Linked DNA regions of Anolis sagrei. The protein of the gene in region 1 interacts with the protein of each later gene in a pairwise test. Links are inferred from orthologs where the notes say so. Each region holds a gene or a part of one and is shown in the gene's direction. Other genes may lie near its edges. The genes, in order: DHPS and EIF5A2.

What was found.
Region 2: the proteins of DHPS (region 1) and EIF5A2 interact in binary tests that used the Homo sapiens proteins (3 or more experiments, as listed by UniProt). The two-hybrid records come from large-scale screens. The link is inferred for Anolis sagrei from reciprocal best matches to the Homo sapiens genes DHPS and EIF5A2.

The regions. Positions count from the first base shown.
Region 1 is NC_090023.1:121,338,773-121,354,405, forward strand, and holds the start of DHPS (deoxyhypusine synthase), read left to right. Parts: upstream 1-9,074; 5' UTR 9,075-9,283; intron 9,284-9,498; exon of another isoform or gene 9,499-9,554; intron 9,555-15,633. UniProt on the Homo sapiens protein: Catalyzes the NAD-dependent oxidative cleavage of spermidine and the subsequent transfer of the butylamine moiety of spermidine to the epsilon-amino group of a critical lysine residue of the eIF-5A precursor protein to form the intermediate deoxyhypusine residue.
Region 2 is NC_090023.1:252,241,704-252,257,172, reverse strand, and holds the start of EIF5A2 (eukaryotic translation initiation factor 5A-2), read left to right. Parts: upstream 1-7,905; 5' UTR 7,906-8,014; intron 8,015-11,856; 5' UTR 11,857-11,880; coding exon 11,881-12,045; intron 12,046-13,014; coding exon 13,015-13,119; intron 13,120-13,804; coding exon 13,805-13,936; intron 13,937-14,203; coding exon 14,204-14,263; 3' UTR 14,264-15,469. UniProt on the Homo sapiens protein: Translation factor that promotes translation elongation and termination, particularly upon ribosome stalling at specific amino acid sequence contexts.

The DNA.
Region 1 (15,633 bases):
CAGGCAGTCTTTGTCTGAATTCTAGAGTTATAACATTTTTTTAAAAATCTATCATGTCCTGGGCAGGAGAGAAATTGGGCTTAGACACTTACAGAGAAAGACACACTCCTAAAAATAATTCACTGAAGCGAGGCTCAGGGAACAGAGACCAAATTCCCTGGTTGGCTTTAGGCTGGTCTCGTCTCTATTCTACCCATATGAAGACAAATGTTCTTTTTACTGCTAAAGAAGGAAAAGGCTGAAGTGGTAAAGCAGTAACCTTGGATTATTTGGCTTTCCAATAATTTCTGTAAATTCGAGTCACTCGAATGTGCAGAGAAATGAAAACTGGGATCTATAGCTCCCTCTCCATTCTCATATATTTCTACAAAGATGAGGAAAGACTGGATTTGTTACACTTTATGATCTTGTGGAAATACAGATTCTTGATATACTAGACTCCTTGCAATATATGTAACTTTATAGAAATTATGAAAGTCAAAATGTTTCAATTTAAACTCTTGGCAGGTTAATATTAGGAGACAGTGAAAAAGAGAATTACTCCAGCACCAGTCAATTATTAGGGAAGTAACTGGGTTGTTGTAGGTTTTTCCGGGCTATATGGCCATATTCTAGAGGCATTCTCTCCTGACGTTTCACCTGTATCTATGGTAAGCATCCTCAGAGGTAGTGAGGTCTGTTGGAACTAGAAATTCTGTTGGAACAAAAGATTTCCCCAGGCACTAGCAAGCCACCCCCCCCCCCAAAAAAAACAACTGTCAGGCCATCAAATGCTAATCAAGTGGTCAGTTGAAACATTCACACCTAGCTCCAACAGACAAGAGTTCTTCGTCCCACCTTGGTCATTCCACAGATATATAAACCCATTTTCCTAGTTCCAACAGACCTCACTATCTCTGAGGATGCTTGCCATAGATGCAGGCGAAACATCAGGAGAGAATACCTCTAGAACATGGCCATATAGCCCGAAAAAACCTACAACAACCCAGGAAAGTAAGTTCAATTAACTCATTAAAGAATTATCCCAAAGATATCCAATAAATTATTAGTATGGGATCTCAGCTGGCTAATTTCCAATGCTAGTAACCTGAAAGAAACACATGAAAAAAGTGCCCTCTAAAGGATAGAGGCATTTTATCTGGCAGAACCTTCAAAGAAGCAGTCTACTTAATCAGATATAACTGCATCTCCATGTTATGACACCAGGGCTTTAAACAGGGCAGCCCCACATTTCTGCAGTTCGCAGAATTCTAGGAAATGTAGTTTGGGAAGGTTAATACCTCTGTAGTTGAGAATTCAAAAGGTCTAAACAACATTTCTCAGAGTTCTGCAGGCGGCAGAATTCAGGGCTGAATGCTTTAAAGCCCCTATGTGATAAAAAAAGTGAAGCACAATCCAAAAGAACTTAATTCAAATAAAATCTTTGTCATTAAGATGGTGTTTTTTCTTTTGCAACAGACTAACACAACTATATGGAGCTGCTGGTGCTAGCCTTGTGTGTGTACAATGATGGGTAAAGGTAAATGTTTCCCCTGACATTAAGTCTAGCCGTGTCCGGTTCTGGGGATGGTGCTCATCTTCACTTCTAAGCCAAAGAGCCGCCGTTGTCCACAGACACCTCCAAGGTCATGTGGCCAGAATGACTGTATGGAGCACCATTACCTTCCTGTAGAAACGGTACCTACTGATCTATTCACATTTGCATATTTTCTGCTAGGTTGGCAGAAGCTGTGCCAAACAGCAGGTGCTCACCCCTCTCCCCGGATTCGAACCGCCAACCTTTCGGTCAGCAAGTTCAACAGCTCAGCTGTTTAATGTGTTGCACATAAAAATATACATCTGAAAGCAAAGGGGAAGTAGAAATAAAGCATAAAGTAAAAGCTGCAAAACAGCAAGTCCACTAGGAATTGAATCTGCAAAGGATAGGAAGAAGAAACCAAACTTTGCTTATCACACAAAGAATGGGGAAATGCCATTTTTTTTTTACAAATCCACAAGAGGAAATTATACCAATTAATGAGAGTTCAGTTTCCCAGATTGCTTCTTTCACTTCTCTCATGGCCATCAGATCCCTGATCATTATCTGGCATATCTAACAACTTTAAAAGCTAAACATTCCCATTGATGATGAATAGGGTGGAATTCCCAATTGTCACAATTACTTTTGATCCCAGGTCTGCTGCAATTGGCAGCTATATGCTATTATTACTTGGTTGTGCTAAGGTCCAGTGCCTCAGTGGAGTATCTCCTGAAAATTACCCAGATGAACCTGTTTTGATCCTTGGGTCTTTGTAAACCATATTCTTCTGAACAGGATAGTGGAGAAAACAGTTGGTAGCTATCTCATTCTTTTGGAAGAGGCAAGTCCCTATGAGATGAAAGAAAAATGGCCAATGTCATACTCCTTTTGAGTGGGCCTATGCTTTAAATGATTAACTGTATGTAAAGAAACAGAAGAGATATATTTACTAATTTGCCTAAACTTGCTTAACTTGTGCCTAACTTGCTTAACTTGATATGGCTCTTCCTCAATGCCATACTTAGTGCCAATGTAATGTAAGCTGATTGCTTTTAAGATAAATATGGAATGCATATTGGCCAATAGAATAGGTACAAATAGTTTCTTGTAAAACAGGGGGTTTCAAGGCAATTGAAACGTAAGTTTAGAAAAGCGTATAAAAGGGGCAACACACCTAGTTTTTGAGTGTGAGTTTGTTTTTCCAGTGAGAGTTGGACTGTCATGTGTTTCTGGCCAGAAATAAACTGTTGACTTCACCTGATCCTGTAGTCCAGTGGTTCTCAATCTGTGGATTCCCCCAGATGTTTTGGCCTTCAACTCCCAGAAATCCTAACAACTAGTAAACTGGCTGGGATTTCTGGGAGTTGTAGGCCTAAACATCTGGGGACCCACAGATTGAGAACCACTGCTGTAGTCTGGCTGCTTTATTCTTCCCACACCTCCATGAATCAACTACACTTTAACCCTTGCTAAGACGAAGTGAGATGTAGTAAAAATAAGAGAGGAGAAAATTATTCTTTCCAAATGGCTGCTGCTAATTTTCAAAACTTCAGAGGTTTTGCATTTTATCTGAAGGGCTCCAAGACCACTGAAGAATAGAGGCCAAAGGTGGGAATCATGCATCTCTCCAGATGTTAATCGATTGCAATTCACAGGAGCTTTAACCAGAACAGCCAAGGACAGCTATGACTTACAGCATAAATAACAGTATAAAACATCTAGAGGGATGTAGGATTCCCAACCGTGGTGTGGGGCCCTGTCTTGCAAACGTTGATCCTCAAGGTGTTTGCGATTTCATCTTCCAGACTTCCTGACCATTAACCATGCTGGTTGGGGCGCCTGGGAGTTGAAGTCCCCAACATCCAGTAGACCAATGTTTGAGAACCATTGGTATAGTCAATCTAGTGTGGGCATCACAACATGCTTTCCATTGCTGCAGCTATCTAGTTTACTGAAGACTGTCAGTAGCTGAGAAATATCTCCTCTGTACAGACATTAAGAAAGACTCTCAATTGGCAATTTGACAATATGGGAACTCAAAACACCTGCTTTAGCAACTGTTGGTTCACTACATGAACATTGTGAGACGTCTAAGCATCGAGAGATCAAGCAACAAATGGCTTTCTACAAGCAACTGGGTGGTTTTCCTTTGTAATTCTGTGGCAGGCATCTGATTTGCTGTTCATTTCTTCGTCTTCTGTATTAAAGGTGAGCAAATTACTTTCTCTATCAGCCCCATTAGAGAGTATTAAAAAGTGTGAGTCAGGGTTAGAAAAACACTATACAGAGATAATAAGATTGGAAATAGAAATGGCAAGTAAAATACACTGGGGTAGAAAAGGAGTGGATAAAATGCATTTGGAGGCAGTCTGCTAGCATCCCTCAGTCACTCCAAACTTCAGAAACCAATTTTCCCTGATCAAAAGGAGAGGTTGAATTGCCTCTCCTGTAAGCTTTTAAACAGATTTTAACTTTTTTTTAAAGAACCCTGGCATTTTTGGCAGTCTGCACATTCCCTAGGGGGTCTCCAGATCAGAAAACTGTGCCCCAAAGCTACCACACTTGCTCAGCTCTAGTGGAGAATAAACTTAAAACACAAGTTTAGCAAACATGTAGAGCTCTGAATTGGGCCAGGCAAAGATAGGAAAAGGTGAATGCAGCAATAAGTGAGTTCAAAAAGTTGACAGGGATTGCTAAAAGCTGTAAAATATGTGTATACACATATACCCAATGCTGTCTAGCTTTGTATTCTCATCATGGCTCTTCCTTCCTTCCTTTCCCTCACACACCTTGTCCCCTCTGTTTCTTTCCTTGCTTTTCCTCATACAGCTTCCCCCTCTTCTTTCTGTTTTCTGCCTTTGTTGCTCTTCATTTCTTTTTCTCTTCCCTCACTTTTGTACATTTTCTCCTCTTTCTTTCTTTTCTTCCCCTCATACCTTTCCCTGTTTTCTTTCTCTTCTTCCCTGCTTTCCCTCCTTTTTCTGACTTCACCCTTCTTTGTCTCTTTCCACACTTCCGCTCATACATCTTAACTAGCAACAGCCACTCTGTTTCGCTCCCTTTCTTTTCCGGTCACATGACAAAGGGCCACTTTACCTAGCAACAGCCAATCCACTTCATTCCTTTTCTTTCCCTCAGCTCTAGTTCAAAAAAGGATGTTGTTTTTTTTAGTTCAAATCTCTAAATTAAAAGTATGTGTGCCAAGTTTAGATCCATCAAGCCAAATAACCTTTGTTGTACAAACCAACGAACAAACGTATATAGAGTAGATTCTCGCTTATACAACATAAATAGGCCGGCAGAACGTTGCATAAGTGAAAATGTTGGATATAAGGAGGGATTAAGGAAAAGACTATTTAACGTCAAATGACATTATGATTTTACAAATTAAACACCAAAACATCATGTTTCACAACAAATTGACAGAGAAAGCATTTCAATACACGGTAATGTTATGTAGTAATTACTGTATTTACGAGTTTAGCACCAAAATATCACAATGTTTTGAAAAAGCTGTGGATTTGGGCAGGAGGCAGAATGTGTTGGATAATACAGAACATTGGATGAGCAAAGTTTGGATAAGTGAGACTCTATTTTACATACTTTGACTTCTATAGATATAGAAGCAATTTACACCAACATATAAATACACATGGTATCACCTGCATAACAGTGTCATAATTGCAGGAAAAAACTGCCCTCCCACCCTCTGGCTATAGGCCAGGAAAACCAAGAGAAACACATAAAACAATTCAATTGTTGCTCTGTTTATTTTAAAGCCAGGAGCGTCATGATGAAGGTGGGCTGTCAGGACCACAGCAGGAGAGAAAACGCTTAAATGCCACCTCTTCATGTGCTGAAATCCCATGAAAATGAGCACCTACTGTGCCTATTAAACAATAAACCCCCAGCTGACAAACTCCCAGGTGCTTTCAGCACCACTTCTTGTTCTGCCTACGGTACGTGCAAGGTGGCTGGATCTAGTTTTATTTTCTGGAATAAAATCTGTCATTTTTCAATGTATTGACGAACACAAAGACCTAGACGCTAGAGTGAAAACTGGAGAAGGCTCTTGGGAAGAGAACATTTCATCAGGTGCTGCTTGTGATCTGGCCATTGCATGGCAAGCCGAAACTGAGTCAGGCGGTGCCTCAAACCCTGGGCAGGAGAAAGGTGGGGGGAAAAGTAAAATACACACCAATTGAAATTTCTTCCTCTACAAAACTGTTGAAGACACAGGGGGCCTCTCTCCAGTTTTCAGTCTGGCTAACCTTATTTGGGCAACTCAGACCAGTTTGAGACCACTTTGACTGCCATGACTCAGGCCCCTTCCTGTATCCCAGGACATTGCCCTATATCTGTTTTAAACGAGATTATGTTAAAGGGGTTTAGGAAGCTTAAAGAATGGTTTAATTGATTTTAAATGCTTTAGTTAAGAAACCGCTTTGCTTCAAGAATGCTGTTAATGCTTAACTTGTGTGCAAAGAAAATTTGAGGAATTGAGGAAGATGCTTGAGGAATTGAGGAAGATGCCTGAAGTCATATTTAAAAAAAAACCTGCTTAATTGGGATTTCACTTGCTTAACTTGGCACACTGCTTGACCTGGGAGGTGTGCCTTTGAATGTATCACATAGTAAAAAGCTAATAAACGCATAAGCACAAATGGATTGGTTTCTTGAATATACATCGTGTAAGATGATTGCTTAAAGGTAAAAATGCATTGCACAGGAGTGGATTTGGGCCAATAAGATGAGAACAAATGATTTCCCGTAAATATGATTTCACTACAATAGGAGTCTCCACTGGCAGATAATCTGGAATAAGCAGATAACCTGGGATCATATACTGGGACATAGGGGCAGTGTGGAAGAGGCCTCAGAGCTGTACAATTCTGGGATTGTGCGATATTTAACTTATTTATGTTTTATCTCTAGCTCATTATGTTTTGTATTTGTGTTGTTGATTGATTTTGTATTGTATTTTATTGTATTTTAACATGTTTGGGTCCCTTCGTGGGAAAAAAGTGGGATATCAATAAATATTTATTATTATTGTTACTATTCTCTATCAGAGAGCTTTGGGGCCACAACAAACTATAAACCCCACAATCCTATGGCAGTTCAAAGGCCCCTCCTAGACAGGTGCTATATCCCAGGACCTGATCCCAGGTTTTCTGTTTATCCCAGATTATCTTGCAGTGTGGGGTGATAGTACAATAGCTGTGTCCGGAAGCTACGAGCATAATGCACAATCCCACAATGGCGGTTGTGAATAAGGGAAAGGACCACGTGGTCTAGAGAGGGGGCGGAGTGAGAGCGGGGGAGCGGCACAATGAGGGCGGGAATATACTTCAAAGTTGCATTTGGTGGAAGGATACAAAGGAGGGGAGGGTTAGGATAAGGTTTAGGGTTAGGATTAGGGGAAGGTTTAGGGTTTGGGTTAGCAGGCATGTAGCCGGGGGGCGGGGGCTTGAGGGGCTTCAGCCCCCCCCCCCCCCGAAATTCTCATGGTGGTTTGCGAAAAGGCCTTACTGGTGCATTATTTAAACTGTTATGTTTATTCATATCATGATCTGATCACCATACTCAATATATCCCATATGCATGGGGGTATTGGGGTAATGATACAAAAGGTTTGCTAGGGTAAACCCTCTTTCACTCAGACTCAGCCCCCCCGAAACCCCCCCTGAAAAAAACTCACCCCCCCCCCCCCCAATCGAAATCCTGGCTACGGGCCTGTGGGTTAGGATTAGGGTTTTACCATTAAAGAACTCTTACATTCCTTCTATAACATCTGTGTCCAGCCTGGCTTACATTACCCCCATCTCGGTCACATGTTCCGTTCTGCGTTGTGCAAACAGCGGCCCCAAAGTGGAAACAGCGTAATGCTCGGACCTTCCGAACCCAGGTATAATACAATTACCCACTGCAGACTCATATAATTCAGTTTAAAGCAGAAAACCTGGGATCGGATCCTGGGATATACGGCCTGTCTGGAAGGGCCCAAAGTGATGTCAAAGTGCTATAATTCTGCTGTGGTGCCTACACGGGGATTTAACTAATCAATTATATATGCAAATAAGTGTCTAGTCAACAAAGGGAGAAGATATCCAATGCAATCCTTACCACAGACCAATCTTCTACCAGAAACTGGCCCTCAGGCCTCTTCCACACAGCTGAATAAAATACCACATTATCTGCTTTGAACTGGACTATATGACTATATGCCCCCGGTGGCGCAGTGGGTTAAAGTGCTGAGCTGCTGAGCTTGTTGACCGAAAGGTCGTAGGTTCAATTCTGGGGAGCGGCGTGAGCTTCTGCTGTCAGCCCTAGCTTCTGCCAACCTAGCAGTTCGAAAACATGCAAATGTGAGTAGGTCAATAGGTACCGCTCCAGCGGGAAGGTAACGGCGCTCCATGCAGTCATGCCGGCCACATGACCTTGGAGGTGTCTATGGACAACACTGGCTCTTCGGCTTAGAAATGGAGATGAGCACCACACCCCAGAGTCAGACATGACTGGACTCAGGCCTGTAGCGAGGGGGTGGTTTTAGGGGTTCAACTCCCCCCCCCCCCGAAATGTTTCAGATTTTTTTAAAAAACCTGGTTTACTCATGAATTTTAACTGGTTAACCAAATCCCCATGCTAAGTCTATGAGATGCAAAAAATTAAGAGTCCCTCCAGAACTGTAAGAACTATCTCAAGCAAATATTGACAATTTATTCACACTGTCATTACTTGCAGCAATAGACGATGTAGTGAAGCAACCAAGTTGGGTGTGTGTGTGTTGAATGCTCTCATTAAGGAGGCCAGACTTGGTGGAGGTGATTGACAGGGGCGGAGCTGCAGGCTATGGAAGGTTGCTCTGCCCCCTGCTGTGCTCTTTGCTTCAGCTGAGCTAGGAGGCAGGTTTCAACTCCCCCCCCCCCAAAATTTTCAACCCTCCCCGAAATAATTTTCAACCACCACCACCACCACCCCCCCCCCCCCCCACCACCACCACCACCAAAATTGTCAACCCTCGCCGAATTTTTTTTCTGGCTACGGCCCTGACTGGACTTAATGTCAGGGGACAACCTTTACCTTTTATATGACAATGTGGATAACCCAGACAGATGACCCAGTTCAAAGCAGATATTGTGGGATTTCTGCCTTGATATTCTGGGTTATATGGCTGTGTGGAAGGGCCCCCAGTCTGAAGGGAGCGCTTCAATTGCTACAGGAAAGCTGTCTGGCCTCCCAGGGGAGTTTAGCCTTCAACTCCCAGAAGCCTCTGCTGCACTAGCCAACGGTTAGGAATTCTGGGAGTTGAAGTCCAAAACACCAGGTAGCCCTCCCAGAAGCAACACCGCCTTTCATTTTCGCCTCCATATCATCTTCCTCTTTTGCCCCTACGGAAAGAAAGAGGGTAAAGAAAACCTCTTCATCCAAACGCTTTCTTTGCTGCCCCGCTTACGAGCCACTTGGCTGTCTTTCCTGGGCCGGAAGGGAAGCCTTGTTTGGCCAGCTTCCGCCCAAAGGTGAAGCTTTCCGCCGGCCATCTTTGTGAAGGGAGGGCGGGGGGCGGGATTGGGAGGGACGCTTTTCAACGGAAGCGCGAAAGAGCCGGCTTTGTCCTCGCCTCTCGGGACCCGCTTAAAAAGAGGGGTGAAGGCGTGCGTGTCTGGAGGAGTCGCCTCAGCCAGAGAGGGGAGGACTAGAAGGACGCGGGCCTGGGGACCTCCTCCTGCCTTGGAAGTCGCCTCTAACGCGGCTCTGCAGCGGGTAAGGCAGAGCGGAGGGCATTGGTTGCCTCTCCCTCGCACTGTGAGGTCAAGCGGGCCTCTCAGCCCCCCAAGTCAGGGCCCGGCGCCCCTTCCGCCCACCGCCACGTGAAGGGCTGCCACCGCGCCATGGGGAGGCCAAGGACCACCTCGGGGTGATTCCCATTTACCCCTATTTCCTTTCTCTCTCCCATCTCTCCCTCCTTCTCGCCAAAGATGTTGGAATCGAGCTGGCGTTTCAGGACTCTGGACTGCCCCACTTCAGGCCGCAGGTGAGAGGAGATGGGGAAAGTCAGAATGCCATTCCTCCTTCTTTGTTCTCATGCAGGAGGGCAGCCCCACTTTGGCCGATGTGTACCACCTCTCCAGGCATCTCTCCGTATACAGCTACACCAAGCCTGGCCAAACTTCGACCCTCCAAGTGTTTTGACTCCAGCTCCCACAATTCCTTCCTTTCCCCTTCAGCCACTTAAGCAGAAAAGGCCTGAGGTTGTTAGCAGTTGTGGGAGTTGAAGTTCAAAACACCTGGAGGGCCCAAGTTTGCCTATGCCTGCTCTTGCTGGAAAATCTATATTTATTTTTTAATATAGCAGATAACTGAAACATCATTATCTTTAAAGACCATGAGACTACTGATGTCTGTCATGATGATCATCGTAGAAGTTACTTCACCTGTAAATAATCCACAAACAATTTACACTCAAGCATTTGATCAACTGAGCTAAAGTGGTTTGAGAGCACTTTAGCAGCACCCAGAGCACCTAAACAGTCTCTCTCACTCTCTGCTTTTGTTTGAACATTGTTAATTGGAAAGGAAAACATGAAAAACAATACGATATCAATACGATAGCCCCAGCTTCTGCCAACCTAGCACTTCGAAAACATGCAAAATATGAGTAGATCAATAGGTCTGCAGGAAGGTAACAGCGCTCCATGCAGTCATGTTGGCCACATGACCTAGGAAGTGTCAATGGACAATGCCAACTCTTTGGCTTAGAAATGAAGATGAGCACCAACCCACAGAGTTGAACACAACTAGACTTAATGTCAGGGGAAACCTTTACCTATTTATATCCCGCCTTCTGTCGCCATACAGAGACTCAAAGTGGGTCACAATGAGTCACAGCTTAAAATATACAATGTACAAATATTGGAACAGTATTCAACATCGTTACTATTAAAAACAATTCAAGATAAAACCATACAAGCATATAAACCACAAATTACAACACATTTATCTTTAAACCCCTGCCTGAATAAAAGGTTTTAGCTTGCTGCCAGAACAGTGGTTCTCAGCCTTTGGTCCTCCAGGTGTTATGGACTTGAGATCCCACAATTCCTAATAGCTGGCAAACTGGTTGGGATTTCTGGGAGTTGAAGTCCAAGACGCCTGGAGGACCACTGTGCCCAAAGGACAGCAGGGAAGAGGCCATTCTGGTTTCCCTGGACAAGGAGTTCTAGGGTTGATGGGCAGCCAATGAGAGAGAAAACCCACTCTCTCGTTCCCACCAACCAAGCTTGAGATGGAGGTGGGACCAAGAGACGGGCGTCTCCTGAAGATCTCAGGGCCTGGACAGGTTCGTACAATGGGATGCGGTTGGCCAAATAGCCTGGGCCTGAACACTAGAAAAGTGGTTCTCAACCTGTGGGTCCCCGGGTGTTTTGGCCTACAACTCCCAGAAATCCCAGCCAGTTTACCAGCTGTTAGGATTTCTGGGAGTTGAAGGCCAAAACACCTGGGGACCCACAGGTTGAGAACCACTGTTTACCACTCCTGGGTTCAATGCTAGGGAATCCTTGGATTTGCAGCAGGGAACACTAAAGAGCAAACTACAATCATCACAATTCCATAGCATTGAGCCTGGGATATCACGCTGGTGTCAAACTGCATGAATCCTGGAGCATAGATGTGCCTTTGGTTATCCATTACAATTCTGTGACTGCTTTGCAGCAGAAGTTGATCATAGAGTAGCACTGGAGGACAAAAGGTGCAGCCACGCTGTAGAATGAATGAAATTCAACACCACTTTAGCTGTCATAGATCAATGTTACAGAATCACAGGGCTTGTAGTTTCTCATTAGTCTTCTCTGCCAAAAAGTGTTGTTGTCTCACCAAACTACAAACCCCAGGATTCCATAGCATTGAGCCACAGCACTTAAAGTGTCAAACTGCATTCATTCTGTGGTTAAGCGCTCACTCACTAAACTTGCCTTCTTTCTGAGTTATTATGTCATCAAGACTCAAGCTGCATAGAAACTAATAGGCTAGCTCACATGTTCCTTATCCCACCTAGAATTAGAAATTCTGCAATGAAGGTATTAGACAAGATCCTTAAATATAAACATATATTACTGAATTCCAAGTCAGGATGGCCCATACCTTAGTATTTCCAGAGGCTATGCATGGTTGGACAGTGAAGAAAGCTTACAGCAGGAAAATAAATTCATTTGACATGTTGTGATGAAGACAATTCTATGGATACCATCAACTGCCAAAAGGAAAAAAAGAAATTCACTCACCACACTGTCAAAACTGTCCTCAATATTATTATCCTTCCTATACAGATCTTCAGTATAGTCTCGCCACCTTCTCTTGATCTCTTCAGTTTCTGTTAGGTCCTTGCCATCTTTGTTGCCATCCGCTGAAAGTAAATTGTCTTTAATACTTGTGTTAGGATTCAGCATGTGGTACAAAAAGAATAAGATATGGCTCAATGATTCTCTAGCTTCAAATATTTAATAGTACAAATAATCAAGAATATAAGGCAGTGAATAATTATTATTTAAGTCTGAAATGGGTTGCCTTTGAAAACTGTCCGGAAGCTTCAACTGGTCCAACGGACAACAGCCAGATTGCTAACTGGAGCGGCTCTCAGGGAGCATACAACCTCCTTGTTGCGCCAGCTCCACTGGCTGCCAGTTTGCTACCGGGCACAATTCAAAGTGCTGGTTCTAGCCTATAAAGTCCTAAATGGTTCTGGCCCAACTTACCTGTCCGAACGTATCTCCCCTTATGAACCATCTAGGACCTTGAGATTATCCGGAGAGGCTTTGCTCTCGGCCCCTCCTTCGTCCCAGGTACGTTTGGCGGGGACGAGAGACAGGGCCTTCTCAGTGGTGGCCCTCTGGCTATGGAATGCTCTCCCCAGAGAGATTAGATCTGCTCCCTCCCTCTTAACGTTTCGGAAGCAACACAAAACGTGGCTGTTTGAGCAAGCGTTCACAAACAGAGTAACGGATACAGATAACTGATATAGGAACTGATGACTGATTATGGAACTGAACAATGCTTGACAATAAGGAGACACCAATGATGTTGTTTTTATTGTTGTGAGATTTATGTAATTTTAATGTTTTAAATTGTATTATGATACTATGTATACTGTTTTGTTGGAAACCGCCTTGAGTCACCGATAGGCTGAGAAAGTGAGAGAAATCTACACCTCGGAAGGGGAATTCACTCCTTATGGGGGAAAAGTGTCTCCATTGAAGTTTTATTGCCAATCCTTGTTTCCACAACAAGCCAATTTTTTCAAAATCCTATTATCACAGGGACAGAAAGTGAGGTGAAATCTTCTGAATTGAGGCACATATAGCAAAACAAATCCCTATGCTATCCAAAGCTACAAAAAATTAGCTGGAGTTACACTTTTAAAATGTCCCCTTTCTGACTTACATACAAATCCAGCTTAAGAACAAATCTAGAGAACCTATCTTGATCATAACCTGGAGACTGTTTTTATAAAAGATTTAGGATATGCCTAAAATGAAGATTGAAATCAAATCCAGATTTCCAGTAAATCAAAATCAGTGTCTCTGTATTACAGAGCATTTAATTAAGGTATAATAAAAACAATGACGTGTCAGATCAGCATAGTGTTGATGGGGATGTGGTTCTTTGGGTTCTTATTGTAATTTGTGGTGGGTACCACACTATCTCCCTCACCTGGGAAGACCTATTATTTATTTATTTATTTATTTTACTTTACTTGTATACCGCCGTTTCTCAGCCCAACAGGCGACTCAACGCGGTTTACAACAAGGATAAAAAACAATCAGTGATAAACAATTTAAAACCATAAGAGCATAGTATACAAAATTGACATAACAATAAGACAGTGTAATACATCTCATAACTAGAATTGTGATCCAATTCGTCGTCCATATTTCCATTCCTGTAATCAAAAGGAGAATTGGATCAAGATGTGAATGTGATAGTCCTGTGAAACATCATTATGGACCCAGGAATACAGAAGTATTCTATATACAGAAAAGCTTTAGTCTGTTTTATACTTAGAACAGCCAAACAGGTTACAGTTAGTAATTGGAAGGGGAAAAATGACAGAAAACCGGTGTAATAAATCTTGGAAGTTAACTCTAATAGAGAAGCTGACCTGTCAGGTCAGAAAAGCAAACAAAGATAATCCCTCATTTGAAGCAGCTTGTTTTTCATTTATTGAGTACATGAATAATATGGAAAATAGAGAAAGACAGATGTCAATAGCACATGGAACCCCATGTACAAGATTAGTACATGATCTAAAGTGAGAAATACTAACAGCAGTCTGGAATATGACCTTTAACTGAATTTTTCTGCCCGTAACAAGTAAAGTAATGACTTTTATTTTAAAAACAAACCAAGACCACATCAAAAGCAACAGAGCAGAAAAGGATAGAGAGAGATGGGTATTGAAAGACTGGGTTACACACAGAGTTTCTGGAAGCAATGCCAGAACATTTTCATTGCTACCTTTTTTGTAAAATGTGACCTGTGACAATCTTCTTTTTTCTATACTACCACTCGTCACTCAAAATGAATTTGGCTTTTTTCCTGTTATAAACATTCAAACCAGGAAAGTATGGATTTTAAAGAAACTAAAATAGTACTCTTTGATTTCAAATTGATCTCAGTGGGATTTCCTTGTAAATGGGATTCTTTCTTAGGGCTTAGAATAATTGCCTGTCTGTCCTTTGTACATTGTAATTCATAATCCTCTCAGTCAATATAATTCTGCCTAAAGATAGAGCAGTGGTGCTTTTATGTATATAAAATATAAATCTATCTGCTTAAGGAATTGATCAGTTTTAGTTGTGTATTTACAATCCATGACCTGCCCCACTTGAAAATATTACATGTGCTTGTGTACGTTATGTGTACACATTTACATATACAAGGTGAGCATCCCTTATCTTAAATTCTGAATATCCAAAATACTCCGAAATCTAAAATATACTTCAGCATAGATGGTGGAGATATAGAGTCTTTTGCTTTTTGATGGTTCAGTGCACACGAACTTTGATACATGAATACAGTTGTTAAAAGAGATTATGTGTATAAGGTGTATATGAAGCACAGATTTATTTCCTCTTTAGAGTTGGGTCCCATCTCTAAGATATCTCACTATGTAAGGAAAGGCATGGCTGTTATGTATATGTATCCCATTATGTATCCATATGGAAATATTATTTTGGTATTCCAATTGCAAAATTGGAGACGATGTAGTCACCCAGTTTGGAAGGGCCATACTGTGATGGCACACCCGAGCCTTTGTGGAAAATTATATTCTCTGGCTTTACTCGGTGGCTATCTGTTACCTTCTATTGAGATTTAGAACCCTTAACAGACAGAAGCACTTTGAGGCGAGGTAAAAAGATAACCAAAATAAATTTACTGAAACAAGGCGAATGAAGGGTTAACTCCACCCGGGACTATCCTGAGGTAACTTAAAACAATACATTACATAGGGAGCACCGGCTGGATGAAGACATCTCTCTAGGGTGTTTGAAAGTCTCTTTTGCCTCTGGTGCCAAGTGATGGCTAAAGACTGCCTTCATCTTCTCTCTTTAAGAAGCTTGGGTTGGCCAACACTTCGATTGTCCTTTGGACTGATGGTAAATGTAGCAGTAGCTGTATGTGCTAAGAAATGCCTGTTGGATTGATAGGCCTAGGATTTCCAGAAGTGTCCAGGCCTCTATTGCTCTACTTATACAGGGTGAGGCAGCATAACTTCCTTTTTTAAAATGTGCACCATTCAGTCGGTTGAAGACGTGGCGGTGCGCTAGTGGTCTCGTTTGAGAGGCAGGAGTATAAAGTTTTGTTCTGACACAGTTCAGTCGCCATCCTGTGTTGGAACAGTGAGGAGCGTGCTTTTGCCATTGAGGTCTACTTTTCGAGCGGATTTGGAGTGGCCGGCCCGCTCTCCAGATTTGGCCCCTTGTGATTTTTTTCTATGGGGTTTTTTGAAATCCCATGTTTATGTGAACCGTCCAAGGACCCTACAAGACCCCTCCCCACCCCTCCCCACACTAAATTTTTAACGACTTTATATAACCGAAAAACCCCTAACCCCC
Region 2 (15,469 bases), about 130 Mb from region 1:
CTGTATGTCACCTCAAAATTCATGATTATTCAAAAACAGATACAATGCAATATTACCTCTATCTGACACCCGAATATCTGAAACCGCAGATAATAGTGAACCCAATATTTTTACTATAATGGCTTGGAAGTATGCCATACAACGGCATTGGAAGATCTAGAGAGGCCCACAAACACAATGTTGAAAAAAGAAACTTTAGGATTGATAAAAAAAATGGCAATACACCTGAAAAACTGTCAACAGAACCTTAAAATAACTAAATACCATTGCATCAATAAAGTACAGTAACTTCATTCCAATTTGCTGTTTAAACTCTGGAAGATAATTTCATCACAACCCTCATTGATAAGAAAATTAACTTTTTATAGTTGACTGCATTACTTGTGAGTTATTGTTTCCTAGCTTGTTGCACCTAATGGCATCCCAGATGCTGTTGGACTATAATTCCCAGCAGCACAAGCCAAGGCAACCAAAAATGAAGAATATTCGGAGATAAAGTCCAAAAACATATGAAGAGCTACATGCCTTAAATTTTTCAATGTTTATTTTTTTCTGATTTCAGGGTATTGTGGTAAAAGAAACAGTGCAAAATAACTGATATACTGACTTTTTTATTTCCATGGATTTTTTTTTCATTTCAGTATTCCTTTGAGGACTCTATGCAGCTTGAATGACTTTTTTGTGATACAATTAAGCATCTCTACAAACAACTTCAATATATCCAGCATTGTTTGGCTGAACTAAAAAGATGTTGTCTGATATCATATGCTAGGTTTTGCCTTGTTCTTTCAAAATCACTAGCACCATCTGCTGAACAAAACCACGAAATACATCATCCAACAGGATTGCCTTTTTGGAAGATATAACCTGGTATCTGCAAGAAGTTTTAGATGTGAAGAAGTGTATGATTGGGAAAACATTTCAGTCTGGTTTTAACTATTTTCTGCCAATTTCAATTTTTTTTTAATTGAATGAAACCTGGTTTTAGTAATTGCCCAAGGGAGAGGTGAAATGCAATGTGTTATGGACAGCTGCAATGTAAAAATGCAGCACCATAACAAATTCAGGCCTTCTAGTCACAACTCAATGGATGCCGACACTACAGATAGTATTGAGCAAGTATCAGCCTGTAATCAGAGAGGTATTTACTACAGAGTGAACCACTGTGAATGCTATGGAATCCCTGAATAAAAATGCATAGGACTGCATTGCAACCATCAGTAGAATTATTATTAACAGTGACCATCCTTACATGATCATTGTGATGACTGGTATAAGGAAAGCTGGCATACTTGACCATACTTTGTATCAGAAGTCAGTCAGACTGGACTTACTATGTTAATTTATCATTTATTTCTAAACCACCATCAATGTACATGGAACTTTACAAACAAAACAAAACCCTAGTTCCTTATCCTTGGACTTACAACCTAATTCAGATATGACACAAAAGGGGGGTGGCAGTCTGGGATGAAATTACTGTATATATAAATCTAGACACTTTAAAAAGTCAACCCCCCAAAACTTGGGACATTTTATACACAGTGTAAGTAAAGGTAAAGGTAGGTAAAGGTAGTCCCCTGACATTAAGTCCAGTCATGTCTAACTCTGGGGTGTGGTACTCATCTCCATTTCTAAGTCGAAGAGCCAGCGTTGTCCGTAGACACCTCCAAGGTCATGTGGCCGGCATGACTGCATGGAGTACCGTACCGTACTGTGTAAGTACCGTACCGTAATTCTTAGCAAAAAGGGAAAGATTCCCTTCACTGAGTACAATGACCAAAAAAACCAACCCTTTTTAATGCCTGGGCAGACAGAGATGGCTAGCCCTGGGGCAAAATTGGCATTTTTCCCTCTCCAAGAAATTACTTTCAATTTATGTAAGGGTCATATCAAACCCCATAATTTTTCCCACAAACCTACCTAAACTTATATACAAGGTCAACCAAATAAATGATTTGCGGGCAGATCTTAGGGCAAAAATTAGGAAAGAAGAGGTATCTGCTGAACGTATGTACTCAGCACATACTCCTTGTTCTCTCCTTCCATGGGCCTTTCATCTAGTGATGCATACTTGGGCATACTTGGGCTCAGAAGCAGGAGTACAGTGTCTAGATTGAGTAAGGGAAACAAATGGGCCCCACGCTATTCTGCTTTGATCTAACCTCACCTGGAATACTGTTGCCAGTTCTGGGCACTGCAATTCAAGGATATTGACAAGCTAAAACATGCCCAGAAAAGTGTAATTAAAATTATGGAAGATTTTGAACCTGAGCCATATGAGGAACAGCTGACAGATTAGGTTATATTTAGCTTGGAGAAAAGAAGACTGAAAGGAGACATGTTAGTCATATTTTAAATTATGTCAGTGGAATATGCTGCCTCGCAGGGTAGTGGAGTCTCATTCTCTGGGAGTTTTTAAACAGAGGCTGGATGGCCATCTCTCAAGTGTACTTTGATTATGTGTTCCTGCATGGAAGAGGGTTGGACTGAATGTCCCTTGGCATCTCTTCCAGCTCTATGATGGAACTATGCTTGTCTTTTCTCCCTGTCTTCAAGGTCAGGACAATTTCAATTGGCATGATGGGAGGATCTTTCATCTGCTTCTAGCCTAGGTCATGGGAAAGCTGTGCCTCTCCTTTATAATGCTGAAAATGAATTCCTGTTCTTGTATGAGATCCTGCCAGGAAAGCTACAGCCTGACTTTTGCAAATGATTGGTGCAAAAAGTGAGGAGAGATAATGTCCCAAGCAGTATCTGTATCCACAGACTAAAAATAAGCTTAGTCAGGAAAAAGAGTTTGTGCTTTCATCAAACATGCCTCTAGGATATGGCTATATAGCCCGAAAAAACCTACAACAATCCAAAGAGTTTGTTCTTTCATCAAACATACCAAGGTTACAGGTGATACAACTCTGTGGTTAACTGGAGACATTTTTCCTGTCATCTGCAATTCAACAGAATATGTCAATGATCATGGCACCAACTCAAACCGCACAACAGATATATTGTCTCACCCTCACCATTGGCTATAAAGGCTAGGCCAGAGAGAGCCAATAGTCCAAAATCTGGGAGGTCATAGTACTCTCGTGCAGTATCATTAAGGCGATTCTGGATTGACAAAGCCAGCATGGTGTAGTGGTTTAAGCAATGGACAATGACTCTGGAGACCAAGATTCAAATCCATGGAAACCCACTGGCCGACCTTGGGCAAGTCACACTTTCTCAGCCTCATAGAAAGGTAAAGGCACTTTCTCTGAACAAATCTCTCCAAGGAATCACAGAATCATAGAATCAAAGAGTTGGAAGAGACCTCATGGGCCATCCAGTCCAACCCCCTGCCAAGAAGCAGGAATATTGCATTCAAATCACCCCTGACAGATGGCCATCCAGCCTCTGTTTAAAAGCTTCCAAAGAAGGAGCCTCCACCACACTCGGGGCAGAGAGTTCCACTGCTGAACGGATCTCACAGTCAGGAAGTTCTTCCTCATGTTCAGATGGAATCTCCTCTCTTGTAGTTTGAAGCCATTGTTCCACGTCCTAGTCTCCAGGGAAGCAGAAAACAAGCTTGCTCCCTCCTCCCTGTGGCTTCCTCTCACATATTTATACATGGCTATCATATCCCCTCTCATCCTTCTCTTCTTCGGGCTAAACATGCCCAGCTCCTTAAGCCACTCCTCATAGGGCTTGTTCTCCAGACCCTTGATCATTTTAATCGCCCTCCTCTGGACACATTCCAGCTTGTCAACTCTATGATAAGGTCGCTTTAGAATACCCACAAATCGGAAGCAACTTGGAGGCACACAACAGTATTTCCACAGAGAAATAATAGTTTCTGAATAAAACGAAAATGTGTTAGATTTATTTATTTATTTATTTCAGACATTTATATCCCATCCTTCTCACCCTGAGGGGGACTCAGGGCAGCTTACAACCAGCAACCATTAGATGCAAACAACAACAATAAAAACACAGTCAAACATTAATTAAAACATCATCATTAAGTTTAAAAGACCATTTAAAAGAGACAAGTCCAAATCCAAGTCCAGAGTAAGAATTCAAAATCCATTGTCAATCACATATTTCTTTATCATTGTTGTTGCACAGAGTAAGTCCTGAAATGGAAACAGCCTTGAGAAATCTTCTCTCCGTGGGAAGAAAATTGTTTAAACTATTTGTTTTCTTCAAGGAGAAAACTAGTGAAGAATGATATTCCTATTTCATGATATATCCTTCATGTTATGAAGAGTGGGATCCATACAATAGTTCGTGCATTAGGATATTGATGAAACATGAATGAAACATACAGAATAATCACAGTGTGTCTTAAACCTATACTACCTGTTGATAAACTCTACAAGCTTGCTGACATTGCCCCCCCCCCCGGATGTGCGATGGGAAGTTGCTGCTAAATGTGAGATAAATAAGGTTGAATACTGTGAAAGCCAGGTAGTACATATTGGATTTTTCATTTGCCTTCTGTAAATAAAAAATATATTATACATATTACTAATAATATTGCAGTATAGTAGTATAAGTAAAGGTAAAGGTTTCCCCTGACATTAAGTCTAGTCATGTCCAACTCTGGAGGGGTGGTGCCCATCTCCATTTCTGAGCCAAAGAGCTGGCGTTCTTCGTAGACACCTCCAAGGTCATGTGGCCAGCATGACTGCATGGAGTGGCGTTACCTTCCTACAGAAGGTATTGATCTACTTACATTTGCATGTTTTCAAACTTTTCGGTTGGCAGAAACTGGGGCTAACAGCAGGAACCCACCCCACTCCCTGGATTTGAACCACTGACCTTTCAGTCAACAAGTTCTGGGTAATAGTATAATAGCTGGGTCCAGAAGCTCTGAGCGATACGGAGATGCTACATCGCTTCTTCGGGAGCGCTGTTTGCACAAGAGAGACTTAGCTAATGTAAGCCAGGCTGGAGACAGATATAGAAGGAATGTAACCCTTGGCCTAACCTTGAACCGTACTGTAAGCCTAAGCCTAACCCCTTACCCTAACCCTTTGTTGTTGTTCATTCGTTCAGTTGTTTCCAACTCCTCGTGACCTCATGGACCAGTCCACGCCAGAGCTCCCTGCAAGCCATCACCACCCCCAGCTCCTTCAAGGTCAATCCAGTCACTTCAAGGATCCCATCCATTCATCTTGCCCTTGGTTGGCCCCTCTTTCTCCTTCCATTTCCCCCAGCAAAATTGTCTTCTCCAAGCTTTCCTGTCTTCTCATTATGTGGCCAAAGTACTTCATCTTTGCCTCTAATATCCTTCCCTCCAATGAGCAGTCGGGCTTTATTTCCTGGTTGGATCTTCTCGCAGTCCAAGGCACTCTCAGAACTTTCCTCCAGCACCACAGTTCAAAAATCTTCCTTCGCTCAGTCTTCCCTATGGTCCAGCTCTCACATCCGTGGGTAGTATAGTAAAATATAATGATACTAATATTGTCCCATGCTAATAATATATTGTATACACATATATTACTAACATTGGAATATAAAACAATATAATAATGTTGTAATATAATACTATATTGGAGAGGCACTCCAAGTGGCCAGTTTTATGGGGTGGGTATGGACAGGCCCCCAGAAACATCAGAGTTATTTTAATGCAGATGCTTCTGGGATAAAGGCCTGTCTGGATCTGGCCTCAGTTCAATGCAGATATTGTGGAATTTTTCTGCCTTTTATTTATTTATTTGTCGTGTCAGGGCAACCAGTCAATTATATTACATTTGTAACAGAACAAAGCAAACAAACAGACAAAATGCAAAATGTGTGAGTTTGGTAGTTGATTAAATGTCCTTTGACCAGTAGCTGGCCACTTGGAGTACTTCTACTGTTGCTGCAAGGAGGTCCTCCATTGTGCATGTGGCAGGGCTCAGGTTGCATTGCAGCAGGTGGTCAGTGGTTTGCTCTTCTCCACGCTTGCATCTCGAGGATTCCACTTTGTGGCCCCATTCCTGAAGGTTGGCTCTGCATCTCGTGGTGCCAGAGCGCAGTCTGTTCAGCGCCTTCCAAGTCGCCCAGTCCTCTGTGTGTCCAGGGGGGAGTCTCTCATTTGGTATCAGCCACTGGTTGAGGTTCTAGGTTTGAACCTGCCACTTTTGGACTCTCGCTTGCTGAGGCATTCCAGCGAGTGTCTCTGTAGATCTTAGAAAACTATTTCTAGATTTAAGTTGTTGACGTGCTGGCTGATACCCAAACAGGAGATGAGCTGGAGATGTCTCTGCCTTGGTCCTTTCACTATTGGATGCTATTTCCCAGCGGATATCAGGTGGTGCAATACCGGCTAAACAGTATAATTTCTCCAGTGGTGTAGGGCGCACCTCAGGATAATGCGGCATGTCTCATCCAGAGCCACATCCACTGTTTTAGTGTGGTGAGATGTGTTCCACACTGGGCATGCATACTCAGCAGCAGAGTAGCATAGCACAAGGGCAGATGTCGTCACTGTATCTGGTTGTGATCCCCAAGTTGTGCCAGTCAGCTTTCGTATGATATTGTTTCTAGCACCCACTTTTCGATTGATGTTCTGGCAGTGCTTCTTGTAGGTTAGAGCACGGTCCAGAGTGACTCCCAGGTTTTTTGGTGCCCTGCAATGCTCCAGTGGGATTCCTTCCCATATTTTCTGCCTTGATATTCAGGCATATAGGGCTGTCTGGAAAGGCCCTCAGTATTGGTAGCACTAAGTAGGCCTGCTCCCTATTATCTATGACAGGGGTCCTCAAACTAAGGCACAGAATACAGCCCTCCACGGTCATTTACCTGGCCTTCGCTCAGGGTCAACCAAAGTCTGAAACGACTTAAAAGCACACAACAATCCTATCTCACCAGTCAAAAGCAGGGCCACACTTCCCATTGAGATACTAATAATCTTATATTTATTGAAATTGTATTGTTGAAGGCTTTCATGGCCAGAATCACTGGGTTGTTGTAGGTTTTTTTGGGATATATGGCCATGTTCTAGAGGCATTCTCTTCTGACGTTTCGCCTGCATCTATGGCAAGCATCCTCAGAGGTAGTGAGGTCTGTTGGGACTAGGAAAATGGGTTTATATATCTGTGGAATGACCAGGGTGAGACAAAGGACACTTGTCTGTCAGAGCTAGGTGTGAATGTTTCAACTGACCACCTTGATTAGCATACAATGGCCTGACTGTGCCTGGGGCAAACTTTTGTTGAGAGGTAATTAGATGCCCCTTCCTGCATCCTCTCTGTTGTTGTGCTGTTGCAATTTTAGAGTTTTATAATGCTGGTAATATAATGCTGGTAGCCAGATTTTGTTCATTTTCATGGTCTCCTCCTTTCTGTTGAAATTGTCCACATGCTTGTGGATTTCAATGGCTTCTCTGTGTAGTCTGACATGGTGGTTGTAGGAGTGGTCCAACATTTCTGTGTTCTCAAATAATATGCTGTGTCCAGGCTGGTTCATCAGGTGCTCTGCTATGGTTGACTTCTCTGGTTGAATTAGTCTGCAGTGCCTTTCATGTTTATTGAAATTGTTCTTCATTTTAATTATTGTATTGTTTTAAAGTGTGTTTTTGCATTACAAATAAGATATGTGCAGTGTGCATAGGAATTCATTCATGAATTCATGGCAAGCTCAGCAAACGCGCGAAGCAACTGAGACTTTTTGAGTCAGGCGGCTTCCCGTACAGGGATGATCCAGCGCAAGCTGCAAGAGAAAAACCACACGTGGAAGTCGCATGAGGAGGAGAAGAGGGGGTGGGGAGAAAGCCCTGGCTCAATCCGCGCAGGGCAATGACGACACCGACGAGCTGTACGCTGGAGAGAACAGAGTGGGCGGGGCGATGGGGACGAGTAGCCAATCAGGAGAGGAAGAAGTGGGAGTCTGGGGGTGAAGAGCGCATGCGCAGGGTTTCCTCCTCGATGGCCACGCCCCAACCGCCTCGACGCGCAAAAGACGGCACCCTTTCCGGCAGCTGTGCGCGTGCGCGTTGCTGCGACGCTCCTTCGGTCTTTTTTTCCCCCTTCCCGTGCCGTACAAGGTAAGCGCTTCCCTGACGCCGGCGCGCGCGGCGCTTTCTTCGTTCCATTCGACCGTTGGAAGGAAGGGAGGGGGGAAAGGAGGGAGGGGGGAGTGGAGTGGGCGCGAGGCCCGGCGTTCGCGCGTACCCGCGGAGCCTTTTTGAGCCCACGCCGCTTTCCGTACCCGGTTAATCCAGGCCTGGAAGGAAGCTCGGCGCTCATTCATACCACAGGGCTGGGAAATGGAGATCCCAAAACCGTCCCTTAGTGATCCCTCCTCCTCCACATCGTGCTTGGGTGCCTTGATTTTGTAATAACGTGGCAAGGCGTGACTCAGGTTTCGAGGAAGAGGCGCCCCTGAGTCTGCAAGATCTGCGCAGGCCTGCTGGCACGGCCACCACTTCGGCCCTCCCTCCAGGTGCTTTGGACTACAACTCCCACCATTCCTAACAGCCGGCAGGCTGTTAGGAATTGTGGGAGTTGTAGTCCAAAGCACCTGGAGGGCAGGAGTTGGCCCATTTCGCTGCTTTCGAATGTTTCTGCCATCCTTTCCCTCAGGGCAGGTCAGTTAGAAGGAGTTTTATGAGCAAAGGCACCATTGGATGGCTGCCTTCTGCAGTTGCTCCTCTTTTCATGCGTCTTTGAAGTTGCAGGGGATGGGCTACCCTCCAGTTTTCAACACACACATCTTCTATATAAATAAAAATGTAATGCTCGTTTGTGGGATTAACAGAACTCATGCATCTTTGAAAGTGCAGGTGATGGGCTACCCTCCAATTTTACACACACACACACAATCTATATCAATAAAAATGTAATGCTCGTTTTTGGGATTAACAGAACTCAAAAACCGCTGGGGGAATTGGACACAAATTTGGACACAAGACACTTAACAACCCAGTGTATGTCCTTCACTCATAAAAACACTGAAAAACACAGCAGAAGGGACTTAAAAAGCCCCAAAAGGTAAATGACAATACAGAAAAGGGAGGGAAGGGGAGGAAAAAAAGAAAGAAAGAAAACAAAGAGTGAGGGAAAGGGAGAAGGAAGCATGGAAGCAAAGAGAGAAGGAGAGAAATAGGTAGAGAAGGAAGAAAAGAGAGACAGCAGAAGAGAGAAAAAGGGGGAAGGAAAGAAAGAGATATAGAAGGAAGGAAGAACAGGAAGAAAGAGGGAGTGAAGGAAGGAGAGAAAGGGAAGGTTGGCCACAGCAAAGCGTGGCTGGTACAGCTAGTACATAAATAAAAATGTAATGTTAGTTTGTGGGATTAATCTAACTCAAAAACCACTGGATGAATTGACACCAAATTTGGACACAATACGCCTATCAGGCCAACAAGTGACCATTACTCATAAAAACACAGCAGAAGAGACTTAAAAAGCCAAAAAATAAATAATACATTACAGTGCATGCACAAAACCACATATATACACACACAAAACACATATACACAGACTGGGCCACAGTAACGCGTAGCAGGGGACGACTAGTGTGTGTGTGCGTGTGTGATATCCCCCAGCTGGTAAACTGGCTGGGATTTCTGGGAATTGTAGGCCAAAAATATCTGGGGACCCCAGGTTGAGAACCATTGTCGTAGAGACTCGCTTATCCAACATGAACGAGCCAGTAGAATGTTGGATAAACAAAAATGTTGGATAACGAGGGGTTAAGGAAAAGCCTATTAAACATCAAATTACATTATGATTTTACAAATTAAGCTGCAAAAGATCATGTTTTACAACAAATCAACAGAAAAAGTAGTTCAATATGTGGTAACGTTATGTAGTAGTTACTGTATTTATGAATTTAGCATCAAAACATTGCAATGTATTGAAACAATTGTGGATCTGGGCAGGAGGCAGAGTGCATTAGATAATACAGAACATTGCATGACCAAAGGTTAGATAAGCAAGACTCCTCTCTCTCTATGTTGTACACAACATAGTCCGGTTTGTTCAAGCATTTCTATTTATCACAGCTATGCCCGGAGCCCCTGGTAGCACAATGGATTAAACCCATGTGCCAGCAGGACTGCTGACCAAGAGGTCAGCGGTTCGAATTGGGGAGAGCAGGTTGAGCTCCCCCTGTCAGCTCCAGCTCCCCATGCGGGGACATGAGAGAAGTCTCCCACAAGGATGGTTAAAACATCAAACATCTGGGCGTCCTCTGGGCAACATCCTTGCAGATGGCCAACTCTCACACCAGAAGCAACTTGAAGTTACTCCTGGCACGAATAAAAAACAAAAACACAGCGATCCTTGTGTCGTTGTTTAGGTCTCATCCCCCAAGGCAATTTGTATTGAAATATACGCAACCATGTAAAGTGTACCATAGCTAAACATACAGATTAAGGTAGCAGTGGGCCCAGATTTAGACGCTTGCATTTGTGTGGCTCAAGGGGACTTCTCAGTTCCATCTTCCCTGTAGCATCTCCTACAACCCTTGAAAGTGTTACACAGATAAAATGAAGACTGCTAAAAGGAATGAAATAAGGCAGAATTTACCCTCAAGTTGGCCTTCTCTGAAACCTTCAATCTATGAAAGCCTACATACAATCGTGTAAGGTACATTGTATATTCTGTCTAAGTCTCACCTTTGAGATTTATTTCCCTCCTTTTTATTTGAAAATTGGCTGCATTTGCCCAGAAGTCCTGTAGTTGTCCAACATATTTTCCAGTGGGGTACCCAGACAACTCACAGACAATTTATGATGGTAATAAACATACCCTATTTATACCTCACAGCACTTGAAATGCCTCTGAAGATGAGGGTCTTGGTTAAATTATCACTATTTCCTTGTCTTGTGTGCTTTCAGCAAAAGTAATTGGGTACTCTAGAATAGTCTGCTTCTAGGCACAATTCAGTGCTGATTATGACCTTTAAAGCCCTAGACAGTTCAGGTCCAGGCTATTTGGCTGACCATGTCTTCTTGTATGAACCTGCCTGGACCCTGAGATCTTTGGGAGAGGCTCTTCTCTCAATCCCACCTCCATCTCAAGCTCAGTCAGTGGAAACAAGAGAGTGAGCCTTCCTTCTGGGTGGCTGCCCCTCAACTCTGGAACTCCCTGCCCAAGGACCTGTTGTCCTGGCAGCAGGCTATAACCTTTTTATTCAAACAGGCATTTAAAGATGCAGGTATTTAAGATCTAGTCAGCGGGTGCTATGGTTTTTAACTTTGAATATGTATGGATTTCAACTGAATTTTTAAAATACTGTTTGTATGCAATTCTGTTTTAATATTTTTATATTTGTATATTTTAAAATGGATACCAATGCTTTTATGTCAAACCGCTTTGAGTCCCCTTTGGGGAGATAAAGCAGGATATAAATAAATATAAAAACTCTGGAAACAGAAATAATGCCAATGAAACCAGGTGCAAATGAATAGAAAGTGACGCGAAATCCTCTGAATAGGGGCACAGACAGCAAAACAAACACCACAGGGGTGTTAACCCTTCCCGATGCTATCCAAAACTAAAAGATATGTTTATTTGGCTGGAGTTACACTTAAAATGTACCTATTCTGACTTGGATACAAATTCGACTTGAGAACAAATCTACCAAACTTATTTGTATACAGGACTCCCTGTATAATGGCATGGTAAAGTGATGTCCCCCGTATAAAATGAGAAATTGAAGGTTTCATTTTTGGATATATTTTTCCCTGGAATATTTTGTAACCATGGGATTAAATCCCTAGTTAGAGTATCCATGGTTTAAAGGGACAACTTTCTGGTCTGTGATAGCAGTGGGAAGAATATGAATCCATATTTGCCATATGTTCTGTAAACATTGTAATTGGATGATATAACTGATGGATAAAATGTGTTCAACGACTGATAAGGAACTGTTGAATTTTAGTATTTTCTGAAACACACTTCTGCCATGGCTGATGAAGTTGACTTCACCACTGGAGATGCTGGTGCATCTGCCACTTACCCAATGCAGTGTTCTGCTCTTCGCAAGAATGGCTTTGTTGTGCTGAAGGGACGTCCCTGCAAAATTGTGGAGATGTCAACTTCCAAAACTGGCAAGCATGGTCATGCAAAGGTAATCTCTTCCTTCATTTCTGTTCTATTCCACAAATGTCTCTAAATTTCAGCCGTCAAATACCAAACTTTATACTCAGTTGCATTTTGTGCAACCTCAGTTTTAAATAATCTGCCACTTACTGGCATTTCCATCCTAGTTGGCTGCCCTCTTATTCTGTTTCTGATCTGGATAATCATCTTGTATCACATGTGAGTGAGATGTGAATTTCCCGATATTAGAAGCATAGTCCATCAATAAACAGTTCTGTTCTTTGCATGAATGTACATCATATTCCAATGAGAATAGTCTGGACTGTGAATGAGAATAGTCTGGACTGTGTAATTCCACCTTCCTACCCCAGAAGTTAAGACCAGCCACTCAAATTGTTTAACCAGCTTTTCTTAAGAGAACCCCTATCCAGAGTAACTGGCCCTGCCTCTCTGCTTTTCGATCATAGTGTTCCTGCCTGATGGATGCATTTAGGCAGGCAGAAAGAGACAGCTTGGGGTTCTCCCTCTTGCTTGAATTCTCTGAAAACTTCCAGACTTGGAGGATTCTAGGAATAGATAAGGAGGTTACACATGGAGACTGATGTGCCTTCATTTTTCAAGAGGAGAGAACTCTCCACCTTCTTTGCACAAAGAAGTGCTAAACTGCCAACTTGGCAGGGCAGAAAGTGTGAAAAATCACAGCATGTCCCTCATTGGCAAAATGGTATGTGTTAAGGACATCAGCAAAGCTTAAGGGCTCTCCTGTGTCAGATCTTTGTGATGTCATTCCTTTGGAGAATCCACCCCTTCAGACCTGATGTTTTTCGCAACTGTTCAGAATTCATATAATCCCAACTAGGCCAGAGTAGTCTGACTGAGGTGAAAATTAAAGGTCATGCTCTCAAATTCCTTTTTAGCCAAAGTGAGCTGAGGGTAACAAGACAAGGGTAGCATGTTATTTGTATTCTAAGTATCTGACTTGTGAATATTCTCCTAGGTCCATTTAGTTGGTATTGATGTATTCACTGGCAAGAAATATGAAGATATTTGTCCTTCTACTCACAACATGGATGTCCCAAATATCAAGAGGAATGATTACCAAGTAAGTATACATGAAAATATAGACCATGGCTTGACCTTTGGGACTTTAGATCAGTGGTTCTCAACCTGTGGGTCCCCAGATATTTTTCCCTTCAATTCCCAGAAATCCTAACAACTGGTAAACTGGTTGGGATTTCTGGGAGTTGTAGGCCAAAATACCTGGGGACCCACAGGTTGAGAACCACTGCTTTAAATGTTTGACTGCAGTAGTTATTGATCTAAATGAGCTGTCAGAACTCCAGACACTAATTGAAGACTTAACTCTTTCCCAGCAGGTCTGCCCAGTCAGTTTTTTAAATTGTGAATTTTAACTTTACATTTTGTTAGGATTGGTGTCAATCTTTGTTCTGTGTCTCAGAACAAAGATTACATTCTGTGTGTTTTAACCCTGATGATGATGGCTGCCACATTTCAGTCAGTAACTATTTATTCTCCCTCCACCTTTCCCTCAATAGTGGGACTCAGCAGGTTGAAAAGCTAAATATTCAATTCATGGTTTAGAAAAACTACCCCAGTTAAGTGAAGCTATGTTCTCTTGACTTTCTAAGAGCAATACTCAGAGTCAGATTATAAAACTGTGTAGTAGTAAGTCTGAATAGCTGAAGCTGAGGTTAAATGCCTGCCCCATTGACTCAAATTTCTTCAGATGGCTATTAACTAAGATTGTTTTACCAACTTTCCCACAGCTAATCTGTATCCAAGATGGCTACCTCTCTTTATTGACCGAAAGTGGTGACGTTCGTGAGGATCTGAAGGTTCCAGAAGGTGAACTAGGCAAAGAAATAGAGGGAAAATACAATGCAGGCGAAGATTTCCAGGTAAAACTTTACTAGATGAAATATTTCTTCGAATATTTTTTGTTAGTTAACAATTACTCAAAAATCATTTCCTTTGCCTATTCATATTTTATTCTGATTCATATTTTAATGAGGGTGGAGATTGGTTTGCTAAATGTTAAGTTCTGGTTCCAATAGTTCTATTTTAAGTTTCACCAAACCATTGGCACAGTTACTCTTGAAGCAAATGTAATTTAATGTACTTCAGTCACATAATCTAACTATGTGTTTGTTTTTTTCCTGCTGTAGGTTTCTGTTATGTGTGCAATGAGCGAAGAATGTGCTGTAGCCATAAAACCTTGCAAATAGGACCATCTGGATTTGGGCAGTTGCTCAGGTTCCAGCAACTGCAGATCTTGTATTTTAGTTCTGATTATCACCAAAGCTATAACCTTCACTAGCAACCTCGTGTCTTTGTTTGAAAATAATGCTGACTAATGTTGCAAGCCATTTGGCAATACTAAAATTGCTGAAGTTCAAGTGCTTACAGGAATGGCAAGGCAGTCAAAACTGTCATTTTAGATCATGAGGTATTAAAATAGTGTGCTTTACTCGAAAGAGACTGTATAGCAGTGCCAATACCAAGGTAGTACTAAGTTTGGATTTAAGAATAGTGTTTAAGTACAACGTTTTAAATAAATGAAAATAACAATTTTTATCTTAAACATTTTGAAATGTGGCTTGCACTGAACTGTGACTAGTTACTGAGCTAGAGAAAGGGAACACCTATGATCAAAATGCCAGTGCTGATGGCCATGTGCAACAGTCTGTATCTCTGTAGTCCTGCTGGCTCGGTCTTAACATGTTGCCATTTGCCTGTGATGCAAACATCCAAAATATTGGGTGCTTTCATACTCTGGTTAAATAGTGCACAAATGTTCAGGGGTTAGGGGTGTGATTCACGCGAGGCCTTTGATTTCAACATGGAGTTCAGTTACTCTTCTGTTTTAAAAGAAGGGAAAGCCTCAAGTGTTTCAGTAGTATGCGTACTTGTTTTGGGTTTTAGTTTTTGTTTTGTAGCACAAGTAGAATGCTTGGCTTCTTTTTAGGAATTGGAACAAAAGTGTACATAATGGCAGCTTGTATGGAGGCTAAATTTAAACCCTGTTTCACCCAAATAATTTAGGTCACCAGACGCCAGGCCTGCTAAAGAACTATGGTTCGGCGTTCTGTCATACTGGGGAACTTCAGGGCTACTTAACAGGGTTACTTTGACTCAAAATCTACTTGTGCAGGACTTGGTTACACTGAACAGACAAATGCCTAATCGCTAATTTACACGATCTTCTGCTTGCAAGATCATACTTCTGCTTAGTTAGCATTTGGGGAAACCTAATGACTTAAATTTGCCTTAAATATTGGTAGCATCTGACTAACTTGAACTAGTGACTGGGTTCTTAAAACATGTGTAGTTCATTTTGTGGTGGGTGGGCTAGGATAACAGGTTTTTGAGTTTTATTTGGGAATGTGGTTGCCCATAGTCGGTAAAAATTATACTAGAGATGTAAACGAACC